Linked DNA regions of Macaca fascicularis. The protein of the gene in region 1 binds, or shares a complex with, the protein of each later gene. Links are inferred from orthologs where the notes say so. Each region holds a gene or a part of one and is shown in the gene's direction. Other genes may lie near its edges. The genes, in order: MFAP1, ZMAT2 and PRPF38A.

Region 1 (3,655 bases):
TTGCTCTGACATCCTAGTCTAGTTCCTTTAATCTGCACCTCAGTTTCCCCCACCTCAATACTTTAATATTGGATGGACATGGTGGCTCACATCTGTAATCCCAGCACTTTGAGAGGCTAAGGCGGGCAGATTGCCTAAGTCCAGGAGTTGAAGACCAGCCTGGGCAACATGGTAAAACCCCGTCTCTACAAAAAATACAAAAATTAGTCATGTGTGCTGGCATGCCTATAGTCCCAGCTACTCAGGAGGCTGAGGTGGGAGGATCACTTGAGCCTGGGAGGCAGAGGTTGCAGTGAGCCAAGATCGCACCACTGCACTGCAGCCTGGGTGACAGAGCAAGACCCTGCCTCAAAAAAAAAGACTTCAGTATTAATGAAGGCAAACATAATGTACTGTGTGGCTGTGGAAATGCGGTTGATGCTAGTTCATTTTTATGACATTGGTGTTACATTTGGAGATACTGTTTATCAGATTGGCTCGACATCGGAAAATAGTGGAACCTGAAGTGGTAGGAGAGAGTGACTCAGAAGTAGAAGGAGATGCTTGGCGCATGGAACGAGAAGATAGCAGTGAAGAAGAGGAAGAGGAGATTGATGATGAGGTATGATAAAGGAACATGGGAAGTTTTTTTCTGGATATAAGAAAAAGTTGACGCCTGTGCTCATTTGTTGAAGCCTTAAAAACATGAGATCACTGCTTTTGGCAGGACTCTGATCATGTTCCTTGTTTGTTGGGATAGAACTAAAAATAGAATGGTACTAAGTTGTATTTTTTTACATTTGAATTTGTTGGGTTTGATGAGACTAAAACAAAAAGCCATAGGCCATTTGACTGACCGGCTTACATATATGACTTCACAGGAAATAGAACGGCGGCGTGGCATGATGCGTCAGCGAGCACAGGAGAGAAAAAATGAAGAGATGGAAGTCATGGAAGTGGAAGATGAGGGACGTTCTGGAGAGGAGTCAGAATCAGAGTCTGAGTATGAAGAGTACACAGACAGTGAAGATGAGATGGAGCCTCGCCTTAAGCCAGTCTTCATTCGAAAGTAAGTATCTCACGAGCCAGATCTGAATCCACTTAATTACCACTTTCCAGGCGTGGAAACAAAAGTCTGTTTTCTGTTGTGCTATTCTGAAATCTAAGCACTGAGTGAAAGTGCTTTTGCTAGTGCTGTAGCCTTGCCAGACGAGCTGCTGAGGAGTATCTTGGTGTTAGCAGAGAACCTGAGTTTGTTTTCACATCTCTTTTTTTCAGTTATAGAGCATATATCTGTCCAAGGCCTTTTTTTTTTCTTTCTTTCTTTCTGAGACGGAGTGTTGCTCTTGTTGCCCAGGCTGGAGTGCAATGGCGTCATGTCTGCTCACCACAACCTCCAACTCCCGATTTCAAGCGATTCACCTGCCTCAGCCTCCCTAGTAGCTGGGATTACAGGCATGCACCACAACGTCTGGCTAATTTTGTATTTTTAGTATAGAGGGGGTTTCACCATGTTGGTCAGGCTGGTCTCGAACTCCCGACCTCAGGTGATCCGCCCTCCTCAGCCTCCCAAAGTGCTGGGATTACAGGCATGAGCCCCCGCGCCCAGCCAAGGCCATATATTTTTAAACACAAAATTAAACTCAGCAAGCAGATTCCTATTCCTTTCTTGATGGCTAGAAATCCTCCTACTTACAGGCCAGCAGGTTCTTTGCTGTCCAGGCAGTTCTCAAAGATGAACATGATTTTAGTGCTCCAAAGACCTGGGATGATGGCTGGGCACAGTGGCTCATGCCTGTAATTCCAGCACTTTGGGAGGCTGAGGCAGGTGGATCACGAGGTCAGGAGTTCAAGACCAGCCTGGCCAAGATGGTGAAACCCCATCTCTACTAAAAATACAAAGAAATTAACCAGGTGTGGTGGCAGGCGCCTGTAATCCCAGCTACTCGGGAGGCTGAGGCAAAGAATTGCTTGAACCCAGGAGGCAGAGGTTGCAGTGAGCTGAGATCACACCACTGCACAGGAGACAGAGTGAGACTCCATCTCAAAAAAAAAAAAAAAAAGACCTGGGATGACTCAACGTTTTTTGCTCTTTGAAAATAATAGAGCCAAAGAGTTTGGTTTCGTCTCATTTGGATGGGACTAGGTCTAGGGGAACAAAGCACTCCACTCTAAGGACTTTAGGCAATTAACAGGACCTCTGTGATGCAGGAAGGACCGAGTGACAGTTCAAGAACGTGAAGCTGAAGCATTGAAACAGAAGGAGCTGGAGCAGGAAGCAAAACGCCTGGCAGAGGAGAGGCGCAAGTACACACTCAAGGTACTGGGGAGTTGGCCGGGCGCGGTGGCTCAAGCCTGTAATCCCAGCACTTTGGGAGGCTGAGGCGGGTGGATCACGAGGTCAGGAGATCGAGACTATCCTGGCTAACACGGTGAAACCCCGTCTCTACTAAAAATACAAAAAAAAAAACTAGTCGGGCGTGGTGGCGGGCGCCTGTAGTCTCAGCTACTCGGGAGGCTGAGGCGGGAGAATGGCATGAACCCGGGAGGCGGAGCTTGCAGTGAGCCGAGATCACGCCACTGCACTCCAGCCTGGGAGACACAGCGAGACTCCGTCTCAAAAAAAAAAAAAAAAAAAGGTACTGGGGAGTGGTTCCAAGGATTGAGTACAAGAAAATAGTGTAATCAGGTTTGTCTGAGGAGAGTAAGGAAGTCCAAGCCGAATTGTTCTCCCTATCCAGATTGTCGAAGAGGAAACCAAGAAAGAGCTGGAAGAGAACAAGCGATCCTTGGCTGCACTGGATGCACTCAATACTGATGATGAAAATGACGAGGAGGAATATGAGGCATGGAAAGTTCGGGAGCTAAAAAGAATCAAGAGGGACAGAGAAGATCGAGAAGCGTGAGTAAAAAGATGAGCCTAGAGTTAATGCTGCTAGTGGAACAGGTTTCTAGTAGGATAGCTCTGAGACTCATTACCTACTGTGAGTTCCATTCTGGCCATCTTCAGAGTTCTTGCTGCTGGGTGAGTTTCCTATAATTGGAATGTGAGTTTCACTTGTTACAGTGAAATCAGGGAAGAGAAACACACTTTGTCGATGTGTGTCCATAATAGAGTGCCAGCCAGTGCTCCCTTTAGTTTCCTAGTAGACACAAAAATTAGTAACTGTTAGCAGTTATCTCTTACTGTGTACAACCCAACCCACAATTGAGTGACTTGAAAAAACAATTACTTTTCACAATTTTGGAGGTTGGCTGAACAGTTCCTCTACTGATTTCACGTGGGCTCACTTATGTTGTATCCAGCTAGACAGTTGACTGGGCTAGAAACTTAAAAGGGCTTCACTCACATGTCTAGTAGTAGGTGGTGGCTATCAGTTAGGATGCCTCACTTATCCTTCATTGGGTTAGACTGCCTTCCTTACATAGTAGTCTCGGTACCATTCTAAGAGGGCAAGGTCTTCTGACACTTAGGTTCCAGAACTCATACATCAATCCTGCCACATATTGGTCAAAGCAAGTCACAAGGCCGACCTAGCTTTAAGCAGGTGGAGAAACAGACTCCACCTCTGGATAGGAGAAGCAGCAAAGTCATACTTTTTGAAAAGGGGCATGCATACTGTGAGGGGAAGCATTTGTGGCACTTAAGTAACCTACACTATGTTAGAGCAGAATC
Region 2 (2,430 bases), on another chromosome or scaffold:
TGTGGGAGTGGCTTACCTAGGTGGTTCTGGCTCAGGGTCTCTTCATGAAGCTGCAATCAAGGAGTTGGCAAGGTAGGTCTGCATTCATTTGAATCTTAAGTGGGGCTGGAGGATCTGCTTCCAAGCTCTCTCACATGCCTGTTGTTTGGAAGCCTAAGTTCTTTGCCCCATAGACCTTTCTATAAGACTGCTCACAATAGAGCAACTGGCTTCCCCGGAGCAAGTAACCCAAACAAAGACAGAAGGCATGGTTTTTAAAATAACCTAATTTTGGAAGATATTACTTTTGACATATTCTGTTGGCCACACAGACCAACTCTAGTACAAATTGGGAAGAGACTACACAGAGTAGGAATACCAAGAGGGTGGGGCTCATCCTGAGGCTGTCTTTGAGGATGACTGCTATACTCTCTCGAGAGCCAAGGCTTTATAGAAATGAAGGCTTAACACTTCTAAAAAGAAGTTTACCTAAAAATTTGTGTTTCTTGGTTGAAAATGATAAGATCCTTAAAACCATATTTGACTCAAGTGCTGTTTCTTCCTGTTAGATATTACTGCAATGTCTGTGACTGTGTGGTGAAGGACTCCATCAACTTTCTGGATCACATTAATGGAAAGAAACGTAAGGCTTGGAGGTAGCTTGTGACTAGGGCTGGAATTGGGTTTTGGAGGTGGGGTGGAATGGAAGGGTAGGTTTTTTTTTTTTTCTTCCTCTTCTTTTTACTGATCAAAAGAAGGCTGGAGTAAGAAAGGTAGTTTCTATTGGGCTCTTTTTTGATGCCCCTATTAGAACTCTCCAGTTGTTTCAGCACAGGCCATCTTTTACTTCATTATGTAATATTTCTGGAGGCAATGGGTAAGAGGCCTTATTCTGGAGGCCATGAGACTTTTAACAGCACCCAAACCATGTGCTGCTCCTGGGCCCAGCTGACCAAGGGAGTTTCTTTTAACCGTAATTATTTGTGCTGTGTGTTTTATGAGATGTCATATGAGAAGATGTCAGAGAAGTCAGGAAAATACTTTTTGAGGGGCTGAGGATGTTTTAATGAGCTTGCCTTCTTCACTGTTGACCCCATCCAGATCAGAGAAACCTGGGCATGTCTATGCGTGTGGAACGTTCCACCCTGGATCAGGTGAAGAAACGTTTTGAGGTCAACAAGAAGAAGATGGAAGAGAAACAGAAGGATTATGATTTTGAGGAAAGGATGAAGGAGCTCAGAGAAGAGGTAAGCCTCTCCTAGTCTTCCCCTCTGCCCCAGATTTGAGTTTTATGTTATGAATCATGGGAGACCCTGTCCTCATCCCACTCCTACTCCCAGCCCCAGAGTTGTATCTCCTGAGTTCTGTATATTAGCGGAAACATTTGTTGCCTTTGTTTAGGATTCTCATGATCTGAAGGAAATGGCTCTGAAACGACTTTTTTGTCCTGGACTCTGTGGGCCTTATTATTTATTTATTTTGGCGATACAGATATTTCTCAACTTCTGACAGGGTTACCTACCGATAAACCCATCATCAAGTTAAAAATATCTTAAGTCAAAAATGTGTAATACACCTAACCTACCATAGTTTAGTCTAGCCTACCTTAATGTGCTCAGAACACATTAGCCTACAATTGACCCAGATTATCTAACACAAAACCTATTCTATAATAAAGTATTCATCTCATTAATTTATTGAATACTGTACTGAATGTGAAAAACAATGGTTATATGGATACTTGAAGTACAGTTTCAAATGCATGTCAGTTTTGCACCATTGTAAAACTGAAAAATCTTGTCAGAGCATCGTAAGTTGAGGACTCTCATCTGTATTCTTTGATTTAATTTTTTAAAAAGACTTAACTTTTTTTTTGGCCGGGTGCGGTGGCTCAAGCCTGTAATCCCAGCACTTTGGGAGGCCGAGACGGGTGGATCACGAGGTCAGGAGATCGAGACCATCCTGGCTAACACGGTGAAACCCCGTCTCTACTAAGAAATACAAAAAAAAAAAACTAGCCGGGCGAGGTGGCGGGCGCCTGTGGTCCCAGCTACTCGGGAGGCTGAGGCCGGAGAATGGCGTGAACCCGGGAGGTGGAGCTTGCAGTGAGCTGAGATCTGGCCACTGCACTCTAGCCTGGGCTACAGAGCGAGACTCCGTCTCAAAAAAAAAAAAAAAAAAAAAAAAAAAAAGACTTAACTTTCTTTAGAGCAGTTTGGGTTTGCAACAAAATCGAGAGGGAGGTATAAAGATTTCCCATATACCCACTGTCCCCCACAACATGCATAGCTTCCTCCATACTTTTTTTTTTTAACTACAAGAGGAATTAACTAAATGTACCTAGTCCTAAGGAGGCCCATGAAATCAGGCTGACTGGGTCAGAATTCTGTTTCTTCCACTTACTGGCTGTGAATCTTGGGCAAGTTATATAACCTCTTTGTGCCTCAGTAT
Region 3 (3,655 bases), on another chromosome or scaffold:
GGTCTTAAACCCCTGGGCTCAAGGGATCTTCCCACCTCAGTCTCCCAAGGAGCTGGGACCACAGGGACATGCCACTACATTTAGCCATTTGGCATTTTTAAAATCAGCTTTGCCTCTCTGATCTTTAGCCACTCAAATAAACATTGGTAAGCCATATCCCAGATTAAAATGGAGCCAGTTCAAAATGCATGAATCTCAACAGCTCCCGAGATCCTGGGTGTGCTGGAGATTTGGTGCTACTCTAGGGCTAGGCCTCTTCTGGTGGAACTATCAGCCATGAACTTATTAGCCCTTGGATTTTCTCTGTGTACGAAGCCCTTACTTTTGGTTCTAGGCTATACCTATACTGATTGATACTCCCATGACTTTAGAGTGTAAGATACAGGGAATACAGCCAATAGAAAATGAAGATGTTCTCTTCAGGTTTGTATTTATGTTTATAGGAGAACTTTAGTTTATAGATTCCAGGTCTGTTAAACTTATGAAAAGCTTGAACTGTCTTTGAAATGAAATTGTCTCAGCTGTTGCTCCTTGGAATCCTGAAGCCCAGTGTTGAGGTTTCAAGAAATAGGGGAAATGACAACAACCCCTAACTCTCATTATGTTCTCTGTAGAAACGCTATGTATTAGAGGAAGCTGAGCAACTGGAGCCTCGAGTTAGCGCTCTGGAAGAGGACATGGATGATGTGGAGTCCAGTGAAGAGGAAGAAGAGGAGGATGAGAAGGTCAGGCACCTGAGACTTTCAGGGTTGTAGGGGAGGGAGTAATAGAAAATGGGAATTTTTTTTGTTTTTGTACTTTAATTTTTAATTCTGTTGGCCAGGCGTGGTCGCTCACGCCTGTAATCCTAGCACTTTGGGAGGCCAAGGCGGGTGGATCACCAGAGGTCAGGAGTTCAAGACCAGCCTGGCCAACATGGTGGTGAAACCTCATCTCTACTAAAAATACAGAAATTAGCTGGTGTGGTGGCAGGTGCCTGTAATCCCAGCTACCCAGGAGGCTGAGAAGCGGGGGTTGCAGTGAGCCAAGATCGTACCACTGCGCTCCAGCCTGGGCAAAAGTGAGACTCCATCTCAAAAAAAAAATTTTTTTAACTGTAATCAAGAACAATATTCCCTTATTAAAAGCACCTCAGCTCTGCCATATACTAGTGGTATAATCTTACGCAAATTACTTAAATTTAGTTTTCTCCTATGTAAAGTGAGGTTAATGATACGTTTTTCCCCACGTCTGTTGAAAGTATTAAATAAGATTATAAACTTAAAGCCCTTAGCAGAGTATTGGCACATTATAATTGCCTAATAAATGGTGGCAGCTGTTAAATACTTGGAAAGAAATAAAACTTTTCATAATTGCACCTATCCTAAGGAATAAGCCTTGTTTAGGAGGGGGAAAATGTCAACCGCATAGGCATGTTCTTTCAATACTAGTTACAGTGCTGAAAAGTTGAAAACAACCAAGCCTGCCCAGTTGTTTCAGGAAGCAGTCAAACTTTTTTTTTTTTGGAGATAGGGTCTTGCTCTGTTGCCCAGGCTGAAGTGCAGTGGCACAATCTTGGCTCACTGCATCCTCGGCCTCCCAGGCTCAAGCAGTCCTCCCACCTCAGCCTCCCAAGTAGCTGGAACTACAGACGCGTGACAGCACACCTGGCTAATTTGTGTATTTGTTTTGTAGAGATGGGATTTCACCATGTTGCCCAGGCTGCAGATAAACTAAACACACACACATACACACACACCGGTCTGTTTCTGTTCCCTCTCTCTTCTGTGAGTTATTCTGGCTGTCTTACATAGCCCATAATAGGTTTTGTTAGTTAATAGGGTAAGTGCCTCCTTCTTTGTAGTCAGGTTACTGTGCTTTAAAGTCACTTGGAGATGGACTTTGGGACAAGATGGGGTGTGAAGTATAATTAGTGTTCCTAGATGGCTCTTTATAAGCCTGTGCTTTTTAGTGACCCAGTCATCTTGTTTCCAGTTGGAAAGAGTGCCATCACCTGATCACCGCCGGAGAAGCTACCGAGACTTGGACAAGCCCCGTCGCTCTCCCACACTGCGCTACAGAAGGAGTAGAAGCCGGTCTCCCAGAAGGTAAACCCTAGTCATTGGCCTTTTCCCAGGAGATTTTGAGCACTGTAGCCTAGAAGTTTGGATTTTAGAGAAGGAAAAATGCCAGCCTATGGAGAATGTTTGCCCAATATATTCTGTTGCTGCAAAACAGACACCTGTAAAACCTCATTGGCAGAAAACAATAACCATTTGTTTCGTTCACAAGTCTGCAGTCAGTGATTTAAGCAGAGCTTGGATAGGCAGTTTTTTAAGTACCTGTTCTGTTGTCTGCTGTCTACTGGCTGGTATGGAATTGCCTTAGCTTGGATGACAGGGGAAATTTCTCTTCTCTGTGTCATCCTCCAGCAGGCTAAGTTGGGCATTCTCATGGTAGTGGCAGAACTCAAGAGCAAACAAACCCAGTCATGCAAATGTTTTTCCAGTATCTGCTTTTATCATATTTGCAAATATCCCATTAGCCAAAGCAAGTCACGTGGCCAGTCCTAAAGTTAGAATGGGAGGGTGTTAGAGTTACATGACAAAAGACATGGATACAGAGAAGGGTGATACAGAGAAGGGTGAAGGATAAGACTGGGGGTGTTTTTGCAATCTACAATATCCAGTGCACCAACCTAGGCTTTCTTCTTCCTCTCTTTATTATAGGCGGAGTCGATCTCCCAAAAGGAGAAGGTAGGCCTTCAGTTGTTTGTGATGAAGGATAGAGCTTTGGGGAGGGAGTGGTGGTATTGGAGTTGTATGTATATTGCTAACCAGATCTGGCAGTCTAACCAGTCTTTTCTATAGCCCCTCCCCCCGCCGAGAAAGGCATCGGAGCAAGAGTCCAAGACGTCACCGCAGCAGGTCCCGAGATCGGCGGCACAGATCCCGTTCCAAGTCCCCAGGTAGAGCATGTGGGCCTTTTGCCACAGGTTGTCTTAACAAAGAAATGTAAAAGGAGCAGTTAAGCCTCCTGCAGTACAGGAGTGCCTGACTGTACTGCGTAACAGAAAAGGAAATGGACATAGAACTTGAAAATTAAGGTTCACAGCTTGACTGCACTTATAAGCTTTGCTGATAAGGTTGGCTTCAGTTTTTTCATCTGAAATTATAAGATCTAATATAATAGTGAAAACCCAATATGATGTTTGTGAAATTAGCCATAAAGCCCTTGAATGTATATGTGTTTGAACTGGTTTCATTACTCCTTTCTTTGCTCCCTCCTCCTCCACTAATTCAGAGTTGCTTCCACTAAGAGGACAGTGTCCCCTGCATAGGCCAAAAAAATATTAAGCCAATGGCAGGTATTAGGGGAGGTGAGAGTGACAGTTTAATAAGAGAAGGGTAGGATCTCATACAATGGCCTTTTCTTCCCCAGGTCATCACCGTAGTCACAGACACAGGAGCCACTCAAAGTCTCCCGAAAGGTAATGAATTGACCTCTATTTTAACTTTATTCAGAAAGTCCCAATTACAACTAATTGGACCTGAAATTTTCTGGTTTTGTTGGGGGATGTTAGGAATTCTCCTTCGTTACAAAATTGGTCTAGTGCTTTGAGAATTACTGGGGTTAGATAACTTTTTCTTTTTTCTTTTTCTTTTTTGTGAAAACT

Evidence for each region.
Region 2: MFAP1 (region 1) and ZMAT2 share a complex: the UniProt entries of both Homo sapiens proteins name them as parts of the spliceosome B complex. The link is inferred for Macaca fascicularis from reciprocal best matches to the Homo sapiens genes MFAP1 and ZMAT2.
Region 3: the proteins of MFAP1 (region 1) and PRPF38A are in contact, whole or in part, in a crystal structure (PDB 5F5S), measured with the Homo sapiens proteins. The link is inferred for Macaca fascicularis from reciprocal best matches to the Homo sapiens genes MFAP1 and PRPF38A. Residues at the interface, in NP_005917.2 of Homo sapiens: Glu275, Tyr276, Trp279, Arg282, Glu283, Arg286, Arg289, Asp290, Arg294, Leu297, Glu298, Lys301; in NP_116253.2 of Homo sapiens: Tyr124, Asn125, Tyr127, Lys129, His143, Asp145, Glu146, Asp149, His153, Tyr169, Val170, Glu172.

The regions. Positions count from the first base shown.
Region 1 is NC_088381.1:20,397,962-20,401,616, reverse strand, and holds part of MFAP1 (microfibrillar-associated protein 1), read left to right. Parts: intron 1-471; coding exon 472-601; intron 602-860; coding exon 861-1,048; intron 1,049-2,190; coding exon 2,191-2,299; intron 2,300-2,720; coding exon 2,721-2,881; intron 2,882-3,655. UniProt on the Homo sapiens protein: Involved in pre-mRNA splicing as a component of the spliceosome.
Region 2 is NC_088380.1:147,179,351-147,181,780, forward strand, and holds part of ZMAT2 (zinc finger matrin-type protein 2), read left to right. Parts: intron 1-548; coding exon 549-622; intron 623-1,080; coding exon 1,081-1,226; intron 1,227-2,430. UniProt on the Homo sapiens protein: Involved in pre-mRNA splicing as a component of the spliceosome.
Region 3 is NC_088375.1:182,312,955-182,316,609, reverse strand, and holds part of PRPF38A (pre-mRNA-splicing factor 38A), read left to right. Parts: intron 1-614; coding exon 615-725; intron 726-1,974; coding exon 1,975-2,087; intron 2,088-2,321; exon of another isoform or gene 2,322-2,443; intron 2,444-2,708; coding exon 2,709-2,735; intron 2,736-2,849; coding exon 2,850-2,947; intron 2,948-3,420; coding exon 3,421-3,469; intron 3,470-3,655. UniProt on the Homo sapiens protein: Involved in pre-mRNA splicing as a component of the spliceosome.